2 linked regions of the Oreochromis niloticus genome follow. The protein of the gene in region 2 purifies or fractionates together with the protein of the main gene of each other region. This does not show direct contact. Links are inferred from orthologs where the notes say so. Each region holds a gene or a part of one and is shown on either strand. Other genes may lie near its edges.

Evidence for each region. The genes of interacting proteins can lie anywhere in the genome.
Region 1: the proteins of potassium voltage-gated channel subfamily A member 1 (region 2) and kcnab2a purify together in Homo sapiens (co-immunoprecipitation; 3 studies listed by BioGRID and IntAct, counting the BioPlex papers as one, with this or other methods). This does not show direct contact. The link is inferred for Oreochromis niloticus from reciprocal best matches to the Homo sapiens genes KCNA5 and KCNAB2.

Annotation. Positions count from the first base shown.
Region 1 is NC_031970.2:18,705,503-18,713,377, reverse strand, and holds the start of kcnab2a (voltage-gated potassium channel subunit beta-2), read right to left. Parts: upstream 3,002-7,875; 5' UTR 2,574-3,001; coding exon 2,362-2,573; intron 1-2,361.
Region 2 is NC_031981.2:22,387,618-22,395,334, reverse strand, and holds the start of potassium voltage-gated channel subfamily A member 1, read right to left. Parts: upstream 3,017-7,717; 5' UTR 2,991-3,016; intron 688-2,990; 5' UTR 1-687. UniProt on the Homo sapiens protein: Voltage-gated potassium channel that mediates transmembrane potassium transport in excitable membranes. Forms tetrameric potassium-selective channels through which potassium ions pass in accordance with their electrochemical gradient.

The sequences.
Region 1 (7,875 bases), on a different chromosome or scaffold from region 2:
CTATTCTGCAGTGAGGATACTCGGGGAAGTTTTGTTGGCTGGATAAGGCAGCTTTAACTGTATTCTTTTTGGGCCACAGTTATAAAACCACCAACCTCTTCAGCTGTCAAACCGGCATAATGAAAAATTCAATCTTTCTTTAACAGAGAGGAGAAAATGCTTAAGGATAAAAACTAACATGGCCTCGCATTTTAAAGAGCTTGCAAGCTTCACCTCCAAGAGGCATGTTTCAAAGTGACATGAGCACAGATCACTCCAGCCAACTGTACTTCCTCATGGGCAAAGTGCCTACACCAGCATTAACCTTAGCAATCTCCCTTTCTTGCTTTCACTCTCCTCCTTCCTTCCTTCCCTTTCAGTCGCATCTCTTCAAAACAAAACCACAAACACTATGTCGTAGCCTCAGTCCATGATTCTTTGAGCCTCATGCTACATTTAGGCCTGCATTACCTTCAGTTTACATCAGATACGGGTCTGGTTCACAAACACCGAGCCAGTTATGTAGTATGAACTACAATGAGGAAGAGAAGAACACAAACAGCCACTGGCCCCCTGAGCTGGAAATGATTTTACTCATTCACTGTCATTAGCCTCAATAATGATAGTGCGCCAAGACGACGAGGCTGCCGCTAGCAAATTAGATGCAAAGGATTGTGATGTGGCTTCTGAAAACAGTACTGAGGATGGATGTGTTGCCTCCAAACAGCTCTCCATGTTGTCAGTCAACAATCACACTTCACATTTCTTAATGAAAATGTACACTGACTGACACGACATTACCTTCAGTTTTTCTTGCCTTTAGGTTTGAGCTTTAAGATGCTATTATACTAATAAAATGATCAAAATTGAAAAAAAAATGTTCTTGATAGGGTATTTTTTACTTTCCTATATTGTCCTGCAAAAATCAAACGTCCATGTATCGTATCAAACGTGGCTTGAGTCAAGAAAAATATTTGACTAAATTTTTTAATCACTGTACCTAAAACAAGAACATTTAAAAAGAGAAAGTATATCTTACATGAAGAAAGTACATTAGTCAGTGCTTATATATAGCAGACAACAGCAACTTGCTAGTTAAATGGATAAAACGTTCCTTTAAATATTCATACCGCTCTTAAATTTTCTTGCTTTTAAATAAGCTTATCGACCTTTGATCATCTTTGAGTCACATGTGGGAAAATATACAGAGAGAGTCATTATTTAAAAATAAGTCCTGACAACACTGAATCAACTCTCCTATGCAAAGCAGATCCACTGCATTAATGACCAGATTGCTGCAGTTCATGATGTGCTGCACCTCACGGTGCTGAAAAGAAAGGTGAACTGCTTTTTCTCACTGATGCATGCAGAGTTCTTTGTTCTGTACTACGGCTCAATTTGCCATTCACTCTTTTACCCTCAGTGCTTCAATATGCATTTAAAGCAATTCCACATTTACTATTATTCTGCTGCTTTTTCAGCCCTTGTGTCAAAGCTGGACTAATCTGAACGTTTCACTGCACATGTAGAACACATTTGCATTTTAATTTAAAGGCATTTCCAAAGGAAAACCTTTGCTTAAATGGTAAGTATGTCCTGTGTTAGATAACAAACAGTCATCAGTCTTCATGTCCACCACACGGGTTAAATAATTTGCCTTAAGTGATAGAAGAAACTATTTTACCAGCACATGATCAGTAACCAGCTGTCTGGGGAGGTGGAATAAAATTCAATGCAGTATTTTATTAACATTTATAATGTTGCAGGCAGAAGCCAAAGTGCAACGTGTTAATGTTTTTCAGTGATTTCAATGGCAATTTCCATTAGCATGCTCTTTCCATAATGATTGACAGCTGCCATCAGTTTATTTAGTTTGGGAATTGAAATACAATCAACTTAGTTACACCAAGTTAAAAGCAATCTGCAGTGATACTTGTGGTACTACCACATTATTGTTTTAAGTAGTTTTAAGTATTAAGTAGTGCACTACAGATAATAATACGAGAAAGTACTAGTATCTAACTACTAGTAACTAACTACAGAGGGAGTATTCCAGTGCATCTTAAATAGAAATAAAATCAGTTAAAATTACAGTTTTTCTTCATTGCTCAATAGTTAAAGTTTTAGGTAAATTTAAATAACTGATTTTGATAACTAACTCGTGGCAGGTGTCATCAATCGGAAAGGAATAAAAAAATCAAATTAGCACATCAAAGGGGAAAACAATACATCCATTTTTGGTGAAGTAGTCGTGGTGGAGTCACAGAATTTGACAGCCACCATCATTCAAAATCTGCTTTGATTGGATGTGGCAATTTAAATGCTGAATGTCTTGAAGTTTTGGTATTTAGCCAGATTCAAATCTGTTAAGACATGCCCTACCTATACTTCATGCCAGTCTTCACACTTTGCTCGCTGGAGGAAGGCACGCTCTGCACAGAGAGTTGTCCAAGACTCCGAGCCACCATCGCCACTGCTCTGAACTTGCTGCGGGTGCCTGTGCTGGGGCTGTTGGCATTCTGTCGATTTAGCCGGTCCTCCGTGTTGCGGCTTACCCCACCACGATGATCCGTGCACACTAATGACACCTGCATTCTGGCTCCTGGCCGACTGTCCCAACTGCAGATTCCCTAATTAAACTCTCCTCTTTATGAATAAGGAGAGGAAAACACCAAGAGGTGCAGAGCCCAAGGATCCTCTCGGGAATGTGAGACTGTTCACTCACAAGAATCAAGCTTCACACTAAGCCTCTGCAAGAAATCACTGCCCAGTCTATAGAGTGACTGTCCAGCACAAAATGTTGCAGAAAAAACAAAACAAAAGGTATAAGGGGTGGGAGGGCAGAGGAAATGTGTGAAAATGGTGATGGATTGCTGATCAGGTGAAAATAAAGTCCTGGCAAACGCAGTCCAAATTCAAGCAAAACATTATAGAAACCTGCAGTCACTGCAGACTTTAGACATGAAACTCAAGTCTGACACAATGCAGTGGATAAAGCAACAATTTCTTTTAAAGTAATAAGAAAATTAGGGGGAAAAAAGGAAAAAAAAAAAAGAAAAACGCTGATTCCCCACTAAGTTTTTCCTCGATTCTCTCGGGTGTCTTCTTCTTGCTTTTTCTATTAATCAAAAGCTTGCAGGCAGATTCAGAGTCTTGGAATTTCCTCTTTAAAACTGAGCTTAGTGTTAGAGATTGCACCTCTTGGTGCCAAGCTTTAAGAGTGGCAACGCGTAGATCCACACAGAGAGATTGAAAGAATAAAACACGACACACAGATCCAGGAGGTTTTCATCTGTCCTTCTAGGTCCGCCTCGGCAATTACGCTGGCTGATGCATATTCGACTCAATACTACTGCATGTTAGTAAAAGGGCAACCTCATATTCACCTCTCACTGTTGCCTGGATTAAACTTACATCTGTATGCCCTGTGCTGAGCATAAAGCAGCACGGAGCACACAGGAGAGAGATGGAAGGGGAGAGAGAGAATGGATGGAAGAGGGGAGGGGAGAGAGAGAGAGAGAACGAGAGAGCGAGGGGGTGGGGGGTTGTGGTGGGAGGGATATGAAGAGAAGCTATGAGGAGGAATATTCAGAGAGCAGCGTGAGAGAGCAATGCACTGAAATCTTGTGTGTTTATAGCAGCTCTACAAAGACAGGGTGGTGCATTTCTGTGCTCATCTTTATCTGTCGTCTGTTGCCCTGCAGTGTGATTTCATTTAGTTATTCTGTCAGGAGAAAAAAAAGGAAGGATGAATGCTCAAGACTCTGCATTGCCTATTGCCCCAGAAAAGGGGTTTCTCACGTGGGTCTGTTCAACTGCCCATGAAACATTTATTATGCAACTTTATCTATGACAATATATATTAAAGACAGGCATGTGATGCGCGTAGATGTGTACTACTGTATCTTTTCAATTTCAACCGAGCAAAATAAGCTTGATCAAGAACAAGTACAACAAAACGTCATCATTTCATCTATATTCACCACGTATTAGAAACGGATCTGATTAACAGTAACAGGCACGCTCAGGTGAACGGAGGAACATGCAAGAGTGAACAGTAGAAACACGATAATGGTTGGAGGTTGAAAAGTAAACACCACATTGACTGCAGCTTGATGAGACAGTAGATGAGAAGCACACTCTCAGTAATATAATACTGAAGCTTATCTGAGTGGATCAGTGAGTGTGCCAAGGAGATAATTAAAAGAGATGCCATCAGTAGCAGACACGTATAGTAAAGCAGTCAAAGAAGAAACCCTCCATCAAAGGAATCCAGCAAACAGGCTGCTGCTAACTGACAGCCCTATTCTTAGATTTGCGACCTTTTGGTCTCCTAGACTTAAATAGAGCCCTGAGGGGGAAAAGGTGGTCTAATTGAACTGAAATCTGATTTAAGTTTCACACTGTGGACAGAAAGCAGAGAAAACAAGCTACAAATGACCTTCTGAATGCTCCTTCCTGCCACAAAGACCGTGAGAAATATAATGACAAAATACTAATCATACTCAATGTCAGGGTGACAGGGAAGAGATTTGGGTACATTCCCTTCACCATCAATGTCAGCTCATTTTTAACAGAGCAGCTGAATACACCAAGACACCGCTTTAGCACAGGGTATGGTTTATGCATTTGCCACCGCTGCGGTAGAAACATGATGCCACAATCCACGCTGCTCTACTCCAGGACCCCCAAGAGTCGTGACATGTGGAAGGTACTGAGAATTGGGAAAGGCCGGGAACACGAGCTCATGCTGTCAGATACAGTATCAACCTTTACATCTACACTGAACCTTGACTAAACTCCCAGAGTCACAGGAAGTTAGTGGGAACACTTTACTTATTCAATTTTAGAAATCTACATGTTCTTTAAAGGTAAAGGAATCAATATAATCCTCTATAATCATATTTAACTTACTGCACCTCCTGCCATTTTCTGCAGACTGTCCAACTCCCACCACCAACACTAAACTGCAACAGTCAATGTTCATTTTAAGAGACCTGTAAAATGTCTAAACTAAAAATGACACCACACACACCAACGCTTTCTAATTAACAAATACAACAGGATCTATAAATACACCAACAAAAAATATGTTCAATCCAATAAATCATGCTTGTCACATTTACTATGATTTAATAATTCGCCACAGGTACATCTGCCAACTTTCTTTAGACTGGCAGTACGTATTTTATTCCTTCTGACTATATCTGGAAAACAAAAAAAGGACCAAAAGCCCAGAGAGAAGGAGAAGAGAAAAAGAAATCATTAACTATGACTGACACCTAATCGCTGCATGATGACATGACTGTTCTCTTTAAGAAATGTTAGCAGGCATTGCTGTGAGCATGCCTGACAGATATTTTAGGAGTATACACCTACTGCTGTCAAGTGAAAAGCTGATAAGTAAAACCTTTTATTCCCTCCTTTCTTCAGGAAAAATAAAGAAAAGACTTCCTAGTTTCACTTTTTCAACATGCAACACTTCTACAGCAGAGTCAAGACAATGCCAAAGGGGAAGACTTCATCAGTTACTCATAACTTAATAAACCACCTCAGCGTTTAATTCATTACTCAAGTTTTCACTTGGATGACGCATCAAATTGCACTGCAGTGGTCACACTGCCTACTGGCTTGGTAATGAACTTGGAGTCAAAGTCATTTTGAACAAATGTGTGCACATTCAGGATCTCCTGCAGTCTTTCATGCACACTTTCACCAGGATTTCTGATGAAATCAGACCACAATCGAGCAAAAACTGGCCTGAGCATTAAGCTGCTTTGTATTCATTCATCATAGAGAACATCTGTAATGAATTAACTTCTACTCATTGTTTGTTGCAAGATAAATCAGTCGTAACGATGATGTACTAAAAATAAGTAACTCTAATCTTCACATAATGCCTTAGAGTGTAGCTGTTAAATTGCTAATTAGTGACAATATGTTTAGGAGGAACACAGCAGGGTGGCTCCGACCGTGTTAAACTGTTCTGCAGCAATAAAGAGCTATTTTTAGATTAATGCTTAAAGGAAACAACCAAACAACACCTGTAAACCTTTTAAGTTCCTACTGTTAGATCTGGACTCAGTAGTTGGTTGTTAGTTAGCAGTACTGAGCAAATCTTATTACAGTGCCCTTTCTTGTGTGGGGGCCTTAATCTCCTCACTTTGATTAAGTGACTGATTTGAGGATATCCCAAAAAAAATCTACTGAGCTTCTAAAATATCACAGTGAGTGAATGCAGAGGACTGCTAGGGCCCTGTACCTCATTCAGTGTGTGGGGGAGGAAGAGGAGAGATAAGCTGAATGTTCAGAGCAGAACATGTGTGCTTCCCTGATCACGACTGCAGTCGACTAAAATTCGCCAAAACCAATAACGGCGCCCTTTTTCAGGCGAGAGAAGACAAAGAAAACAAAAGACTGAAGAACAACATTAAGTTTCAAATTCGCCATGTAACAGCTGTAAATACACACAAACGGCTATAAAAATGTATTCCGCTTCTTCCAGTCTTACATCCTTTATTAGCAAAACTTGGAAAAAGACTACTGCAGAACTCACACACACACAATCAAAATTATTGACTATGTTCTGCTCAACTCAACAGCCTTGGTCAGAAAGAGGCTTAAGCCCATCGATGTTGCTATGCCATAATGAAGCCTCAGGAGTCTGTTCTGGCCGTACAGGAGCTCAGACAACTGCTCTCTTCCAAACTACAGCGCATATACTGCAGCTAAGACAACTTCTATAATGAACGGCGCATCAGAAATTTCTCTGACCACAGAAGTACTCTTGGGTACTGTTGTGAGCACTGATTCTTCGGCACAACCGCAGTCTTATCTCTAAAAATAGGCACTGGCTCTCCGAATCAATTCCACACACTGAGCACAAAACACAAAGAATGCCCTTGGCGGCTGAAAGGGGAAAAGGACCTCCAAAATTGACATTTGTCACTGGCGTGAGTGTCAGACGGAGTCTTTCACTAATTCGCTTTCAGGGGCAGACCGTCTGCGTCGAGCTGCGATCGGTACGTGAACTAGCAAGTCTGTAGACCTAATCCGTCCAAGCTAGTTTAGCAAGCAAAGGCTTTTTGTAGTCATCTATAAGGACTACAACACAGATAACGATTCCCTTTAAGCATACAATTAAACAGGGTTGTTATCCAGCTATATTCTGAATACCCAGTTCTTCAAGATGGGTAATCAGAATAAAGCTTAAGAATATCAAGTCAAAAGTAGTTTAAGCGTTTCATCTCATGCTTTCTCAGACTTCTGTGCACATTCAGTATCTTACTGCTAATTAACAAAAGCTTACTCAGGGATCTCAGCCACACAGAATTACCACACCTGTATCATATGTAACTGTCAGCCAGTCATCCAACGGTGGCTTAAGTGCCACTTACCGGGAGTTTAACTCCACACATTTGTGAGGATTTGAGTAACCATGTGAAAAGTATAGCATCCCCAAGATGATGTGTGTGTGTGTGTGTAAAAGGGCTTAAGAGAGTTAATGGAAAGAGAGGTGAAGTCAGACAGATTGGCAGTGTTGATCGACAGATGCTTTTCTAACAGCTTAATGCATCCCGAGGCTGTGTCTGAACATTTCTAATTGAATCACTATAATGAGGATGTAATTAAAGAAATTGGAATACTGCTGTTTATGTGTTATATTAGCATCAAGACTGCTTTCTTTCTCTACCGTTTCATGGTCTGAATGAACTCAACTGTGATAAAGATGTACTGGAGATTTGGAATAGCCATCACAAAAATACAAATAAATGTAGAAAATTAGGTCTAGCTCTTCGGCGATTCTGGGATTTCCTGGGGAAACAGCAGAGTGATGGTCACATCTGCGAGCAACGAGTGCTGCAGTTTTTAATTCTCCAGTGAACATGGCAGATT
Region 2 (7,717 bases):
TCTGACCTCTCCCTGTCAGCCCTCTCTGATCTCCTTGCATTGGTTCCTAATAAAGAGACAGCCCAACCTGCCTGCACACTCAGGCCTGAAGCCCGACTGTTTGCGGAGGACAGCGACCATAAAATTCCATCTGAAACCACAAGCTGCTGTTCCTCTGCCGGCCACCAGAGGCACCAGTGGTGAGTCAGTCCTCACAAAGTCCTGTTAACATAAACATACTGACAGGCTGATGCAGAAGCTGTTTTGGTGTCTGTATATAACCCCTAACAGGAGTGAGGATTATCATTGACTAACACAACCTCAGATGACCTCGCTGGTGTTTGTGGACACAAATTGATGCTTCAGAGTTCAGATAGATGAAAAACAGAATAAACTGAGATGCTGTGAGGTCATGTGGTGATTTCTTTCTGTGATTTTGTTTTTATTTTCACTCCTTACACAACATCAGACCTTCCTTTGTGTGTTTTACTGCCACAGCAGCACACGTGTGCAAGCTTTCAGATCTCCTTATTGCGCACACATCCATCTCCTTACAGTGTGAGCATAAAGGCCTGCTTTCCACATGATGGCATCCATGGACTCGCGGCTTTCATGCGCGCCTCTTTGTTTCCTTTATGCTCATGTTCTCTGCTGCTCTGCTGCTGCTGGCTCGGCCCTGGGGCCACACTCTGCCTCATCCTGCTGGCTCTGAGGGAGATGGATACAGCTTTTCTTTAGAACACAAGCTCATGTTTGTCTGCACATAAAGACACATCCCCATCAGCCCACCGCTGCTGGTCAGCTGTTAGTTTATGGTTGAAGTGAGTTCTTGTACTATCATGTTTGGATCTCATGCAGCCATGTGAGTCTTTATGTCAACACTGTAATCATTAACCAGCAACAAGCTGGAGCATCATTTTCTGTTTTTGCTGTAATCATGAAGGATCCTTGTTTCTGTGTTCTGTGGAGTTTATTCTGCATTTAATCATCTTTTTGTGTCTGTTCTCATTATTTTTGTTGGTTTTATGAAAAATTCATGATAAGTTTGAATATTTTGTTTCTTGTGCTTTTCAGTATCTTGCTGTTGAAGTCAAGAGAACTTCAGTCACTGCTCAGTGTTGTGCTAGTACAAAAACCTGACAGCAGCCATATTATTGGTCAGATTATTCATTACAAACACCCCAAAAGGAAAATCAGCTCCATTCTTCAGACACAGGTGTTGATTTCTGGCTCTTATAGTATAAAAAACCTATACGCAGCACAACATCTAAGCAGTGTTTCCAATCAAGGCAGCACAGACTTAGTTCAGTTCAGTTCAGTTCAATTCAATTCAATTTTATTTATACAGCACCAAATCAAAACAGTCACCTCCAGGTGCTTTATATTGTAAGGTAGACCCTACAATAATACATACAGAGAAAAACCCAGCAATCATATGACCCCCTGTGAGCAAGCACTTTGGCGACAGTGGGAAGGAAAAAGTCCCTTTTAACAAGAAGAAACCTCCAGCAGAGCCAGGCCAGTTATTGTGCAGGGTCGTTTAAATCAACCAAAAAAAAACAGAAAACTGTGTCTGACGTTATCCTACTGCTTTTGTTCAAATATAATTGGTATGGGGTTTTTTTTATGAGTGATAGTATGCAGGCGTGATTAGACTGAGGATTCTTGATTGTACTGTCAGGGTGCGATCAACGCTCCGGTGCTGTTTATGGTTGAAATTAATAACAAAAAACAAATAATAATAAAATAAGAAGAATACAAACTGCAATTCCTAGTTATTCCTGGGTTTAAGAAGCATCACCACTGAGACCACTCCTGCTACCTCACCTCTAATGTAAGATCTTTAACCAAGTTCCGTCCAGAGTGCACCGACTGAACATCCAAAATGCTACAAAGGACACGCAGATGCACGCCGGTGGACACAGAGAGCCAGAGCGCTTGTTTCTAAAAGCAGAGGAGGGCGACCTATTTAAAAGGTTAGTTTCTCAGCCCTGTGGGTGGATTAGCAAAACAAAGCAGGAGCACTATATTTATCCGTTTCCTTATCTAATGCCACAGCCTCATCATGATAAGAACTTTGTGCATCTCCCCGCCCCTGGATTAATGCACTGTTCTCAGACTCCTGCAGCCATGAATAATAACCCACCATCACCCATCCCACTGTGTGACTGGCCACTGGCAACGCAGCGATTTCACGCACTGGATACAGCCATTAGGAGGTTTTTACAATAAACTTTATCATGTTTGTCATGCGGGCGCTCCAAAAACATGAAACTGTAGCTGGATGCTGTGAGGTATAAAATCGGGGGGGAGGAGGAGAAGCAGAAACAAACAGGGACATGAAAAAAGAGCAGATGATTAGCACAGAGATGAGAGATTATTTTGCTGCATTCTAATGTGATGTTCACATGTGTCTGATACAGATCTGCAGGTTTCACAGTCCCAGAGGGAAGGAGGGCTTTAAAGTCAAACGGTGTTCTATTATTATGAGAAATCTTCTCTTAAGACCGGTGGTCATGGCAGCAGGTGCATTCACAAGTGCTACATAAAGAATATACAAACACTGGAGTGGTTGTGTTTACATCTGAAAAGCTCTTGGTCCAACCTTATATCCTGACACGATGAACATAACAAATTCTGCACCTCAGGTTTGAATGTTATGCCTCCACGAGCTGACCTTTAAGCATAATTTTATATACATGTGAAAATGTTAAGACCAGGCTGCAGGCGTGTAAAGACACATCAAAAGAAAAAACACATAAATAACTATATCAGCACAACAAACTCCACCCTGAGCCCGAGGTCACTGAAATCAAAATATCCAACCGGTTTTCTGTCCTGTGCTTTACTCAGTTGTGTATGAGCCAATATGAATGTCTCTGTGAAAAACCAAACCGGCACAGGCTGGACTTAGCCGGGTCTGCTCAATTTGGCAAAGCACCCGCAAAACATGAAGATGTTCTGAAGGAAGTGTGCAGGAATCATCCTGTGACGGACATGAAGGTACAAACCTTTCTGGCAGCAGCTGCTGACAGATTTCAGGTGCTGAATAAAAAACCCCATCACACAAACAGCTCCTGCACGTGACTGTGATCAGTGACTGTTCCTTCAGGGCAGTGGAAGGAGAGCGGATTTATGTAGTTATATAAACTTTTTATTTTGTAGTATTAGCTTAAATTGAAAAAACAAACAAACAACTGAACTGATTATGTATTTTACAGCAGATTTTTTTTCATCCTCATTTCCATTTCCATTCCAATTCCAAAAAACCAAATGACTGTTTTTAAGGCCTGAGGTGTGCAAACTCTGAACTCCGAGTTGAAAGCATCCCGCTGTGTTACTGACGGAGGTTCAGTCACAGAATGTCCCAAACCTCAGCCATCCTGATGAACATGTGTAGGAGTTGGAGCTGAGTCCCACTCTGCGGTACTTCAGGTCCTGTTACCAGCTACACAGGGAAACGGTAACCATAACAACAGGTAACCACTAACAACCAGCATCCATAACAACGGCAGCTCACAAATTAGCTCTCTAATTACAGAGACACAGTTCAGAGCCACTGCTGCAGCTGATAACAACAACACAGCTTCTAAAAAAACTGCAGACACGCATCAGGTCTGCAGGTCAGCTACACAACAAAGAAGTTCTCATTTAAACACAGAAGAAGCACAGAGACAAGCATCTCTACTTTTAAATACAGGATAAGATTCGCTCATCTAAATCACATGATGATTGTATCAAACTCTAGAATATTTCTCAGGCGGAGGGTGAACCGAGGGGGAGCACTACTGGAGACCACGAATGAGACTCACAGCTGGAAATTTAAAGCAACAGATGTGATGCTTGATCCACTGTCTGCTTGTGGAACTGGGTTTGTGTGAGTGGAACAGAAGTCAAACAGAAGAAATCAGTGTGTGTGGTTAAAGCAGCAGAGAAGCACCAGTTTTTCATCTGTTTAAAGATCAGTAAGTGTTACAAGGATCCAGAGGCTCTGAGCAGCTTGTTGTGTGTTCAGTTTGGTTCCATCTTCTTTCGGACACTTCGTCTGCTCCGGTCATTGGAGAAGAAGAGTCTCCTCTGGGAGACACTGAGGCCTTCCTAAAGGACCTAAAGGACTGGTTGTTATTTAGCTGTCATTTTCTGCTCTGCTTCAGCAGCCAGAGTAGTTTCTATCTTACATTCACTCCAATGAACCCATCAGGAACAATTTGGGGTTCCATGTCCAGCCCATCGAACAGGCTGCTCTAGTTCCTATCCCAGATCAAATCACCATGTCCTGGGTCTGCTCCAGCGTCTCCTCCCAGTGCCTGAAACACCTCACCTAGGACTTTGGTTCCTCTTGGTTATAAGTTCCTGCCTCCTCCGATCAGCACACAGTATTCTTACTCTCTGGCATCTGTGGTTAGGTCCACACCTGGAAGACTGACCAGCCTTAGCTAAAATAATGCTACAGCAGACAGACAACAAAAAACCAACAAACTTGCAAACAATTTAACTTTGTCCAGTTATTTAATAAGAGGACTGAGAGATAACAAACCCATCACAATAAAAGAGATGACGACAGTGCTGAAGAAATGAGAAAAGCTCAGCGGTGAACAGGTGACCATAAGCCACATGATTGGAGTGTGGCAGCTTGGGTTTGAGTCTGACCTGCACTCACTTTCCTGCCTGTCTTCACTGTTCTGTTATCAAATAAAGGCAACAAAAGAAACAATCAACTCGAGCATTATGAAACAAAAAGGACACAAAAGGGATGAAAACACCCCAAATAAATGCCGGAGCACAGCTGGATGATTCACCCTCCAGCCTATGAACAGCAGATAACACCTGCTTATATCTACAGCTGCAGCTCTCTGATGCTGTCTCTGTTATCACGTTATCGTGTGTTCATATGAATACTGTTCTTTGGTTTGTTGCAGGGCAGGGTGGATTGTCCGTCTGATTGGTGCCAGTCATCAAAGTACTTTCTGTCCCCCTGACAAAGAAATGAAGGTCACAGAGAGGACACAAAAGCATGCAGAGCATCAACAAAACAAGCCAGAGAAAAACTTTGAACGGAGGAACACCTGAGGACGGTGATGAGCATAAACAGAGAAAATGATGAAGGAAAAACACAAAACTACTCCCCTTCTTATTTCTCAGATTGTGCCTCCTCAGTTCCTCTCCTCGACTCCTCCATTGGGCTGAAGGAAGAATGAGAAAGATGTGGGAACAATCAGTGAATCAGAGGCGACAGGCAAGAAAGACAGGAAATGGAAACCAGGAGACAAGGACACAAACATGTGGATAAGGACGATGATGACAAAGAAACACACAAAACTGGGTCTAAAACATGAGAAACAGCTCAGAGCACAACAGCAGCAAAGTTCTGCGTTCTTCCAGAAACATTTATCTGCGTGGGTTCTTCCAGACACGTAACCGTGTGTGTGTGTGTGTGTGTGTGTGTGTGTGTGTGTGTGTGTGTGTGTGTGTGGGTACAGTAGCAGAGAAACGTCAGATTCAGTGCCCGTGTGGAGACGAGCAGCACTGCTGGGATGACAGTAGGCCTGAGTCAGACTCTGCAACACCTGAGGGAGCGTCACCAACCTCACATCACCACATCTGTGTGTGTGTGCGTGTGTGTGCGCACGTCTCACACGGAGTGCTCGCATGCGTGTGTGTTAAATATATGTGAGTGTGTTTAGGCTCAGGGCTGCATGCAGAGAGTGGCGTGGAGGGGGGAGCACTGTGATGAGTTTAAGAAGTCTTGACAGCAGATGCCTGCATAATAACGCAGAGAGAGGACATGTGCAAGCAGGAAAATCAAGGACACCACGTCATGCGTGCCACTCATTTAAAGTAACAGTTTCTGTGGCGGCTTAGAGCGCGCACGCAGATTATGTGCAGAAAAGGCTGCAGATGCTGCTAAATGGATTTGGAAATCGGTGCTGAGAAATATAGCCGAGCAGGGATTTAAAGAGCTGTGTGTGTGTGAGTGCTTGGTGGAGGTCGAGGCAGCATTTGTTAGTGTGATTGGTTTGGTGAGATTTGTCAGCAAGCCTGTGAGCAGATGCTGATGTGTAGGAGGAGGCCAAGTTCAGCTTCAGCCCAAACAGGCAAAGCGTTTATTCAGGCTGACGATGTAGCTCATTAAAACAGTGCTGGAGTCCTGGAATCCTGGAATCTGGAGTCCAGGTCCTTCAGGATGCTCTGCATTGTGGTCTGAAATTCAGTCTGAGATCATTCTTGCAGGAAAACTGACCATCAGCGTCAACATGGCAGCAATTTAAAATGGATTCCTATCTATCTGCCTCCTCCTGTGTGTGTGTCTGTGTGTGTGTGCACGCTTGTACTTCTGTCTCTGTGAGGACCGGTTTGCGTGCTAAGGCATGAGAGTACACATCACAGCGCTGAGCTGGAGTGGACAGAGGATGCTGCAGCAGAGCGAGGAGGAGCGTGTTGTTTTGCATTTGTGATGCAAGCTGACGCTGAGGCGTGATGTGATGTTCTCTCAGCACACCGGCTTGCACAGAAAGGGCTGCTGGATATTTACCTGGCGAGGCTGCAGGCGCACTGATGATGATGATGATGATGATGAAGATCAGCCCTTACCTCTGCTTCACTTCTTTTCTCCATTTGAGCAGAAATGTCTTGCTGGGCTGAAAAACTTTGTTTGGTCTGCTGGTTTGCTTCAAGAAAACTCAAAGCTTTAAACTCCACAATCAGCTAAGCTTTAAACAAATATTAGCTTGATAAACATAATTAGAGGACACTTTCATGCTCAATGCTTTAAAAACCAAGAGCTCCCGTGATACTAATTTTTAACATTTAAAAGCTGCCGAGCATTCCTGCTGCTCACAGGTCAGTGGTTCACATCAGGGTTTCTTTTCTTCTCTTGCACCTGGTTCTGGATTCATACCTGAAACCTCGAGGGATTTTCCTGCAGGAATCGTTCCACTCAAAGCTCGTAAAGTGCTAACACTTTAATCATGGAGAAGTAAATAATGTTGGAGTTAAAGTACTGAACATTTGTTTAGGAATTCAGCTCAGTTTGGGAAAAATCATCAAACACCCCAAAACCAAGACAGAAACAATCAGTGTTTGTTTACAGATTAATTACAGGAAATATATATTAGTGCTGTCAGCACTAATGACTTTTGTCAGCACTAATATCTATCTATCTACATATATATATATATCTGTATGGAATGGAAAAAGGTGACTGCGACTGGAGGAGCTGTGGGCCAATCATCAGTCTCCACTGGTCACGTATTGCACCTCCAGCTTTAACGTGCACCCTGGGTAAACCCCATCATACACACACACACAGACACACACACAGGGTGAGGGCCTCCCCTCCTCCATCCCACCCACCTCAATGTGTCTGCATGTGTTCAAAGGCCCTCGGGGAAGCAGATCACAAAAAGAAAATCTGTGCTTGTTCACAGCAGCCTACACAGGATATTAACCACACACACACACACACACGCACACACACAGTCAAATCTACAATAACTCAACAGAGGCTGCAGGGGGGAAGAGAGGGGATTACAGCCTCAGAGAAATAATAACAACAACCTCTGCTGCTCTCCACAGACATCAGAGTCATAAGGGAAGAGCAGGGAGGAGAGAAGAGAGGAGGGAGGAGAAGAGGGAGGAGGGATAAGGGAGGAGAGGAGGGAGGAGAAGGGTGGGACGCCACCTGAGATGGATCGGTGTGATGGAAGGGATAGAAAACTGATTGTGTAGAGGGTTTTTT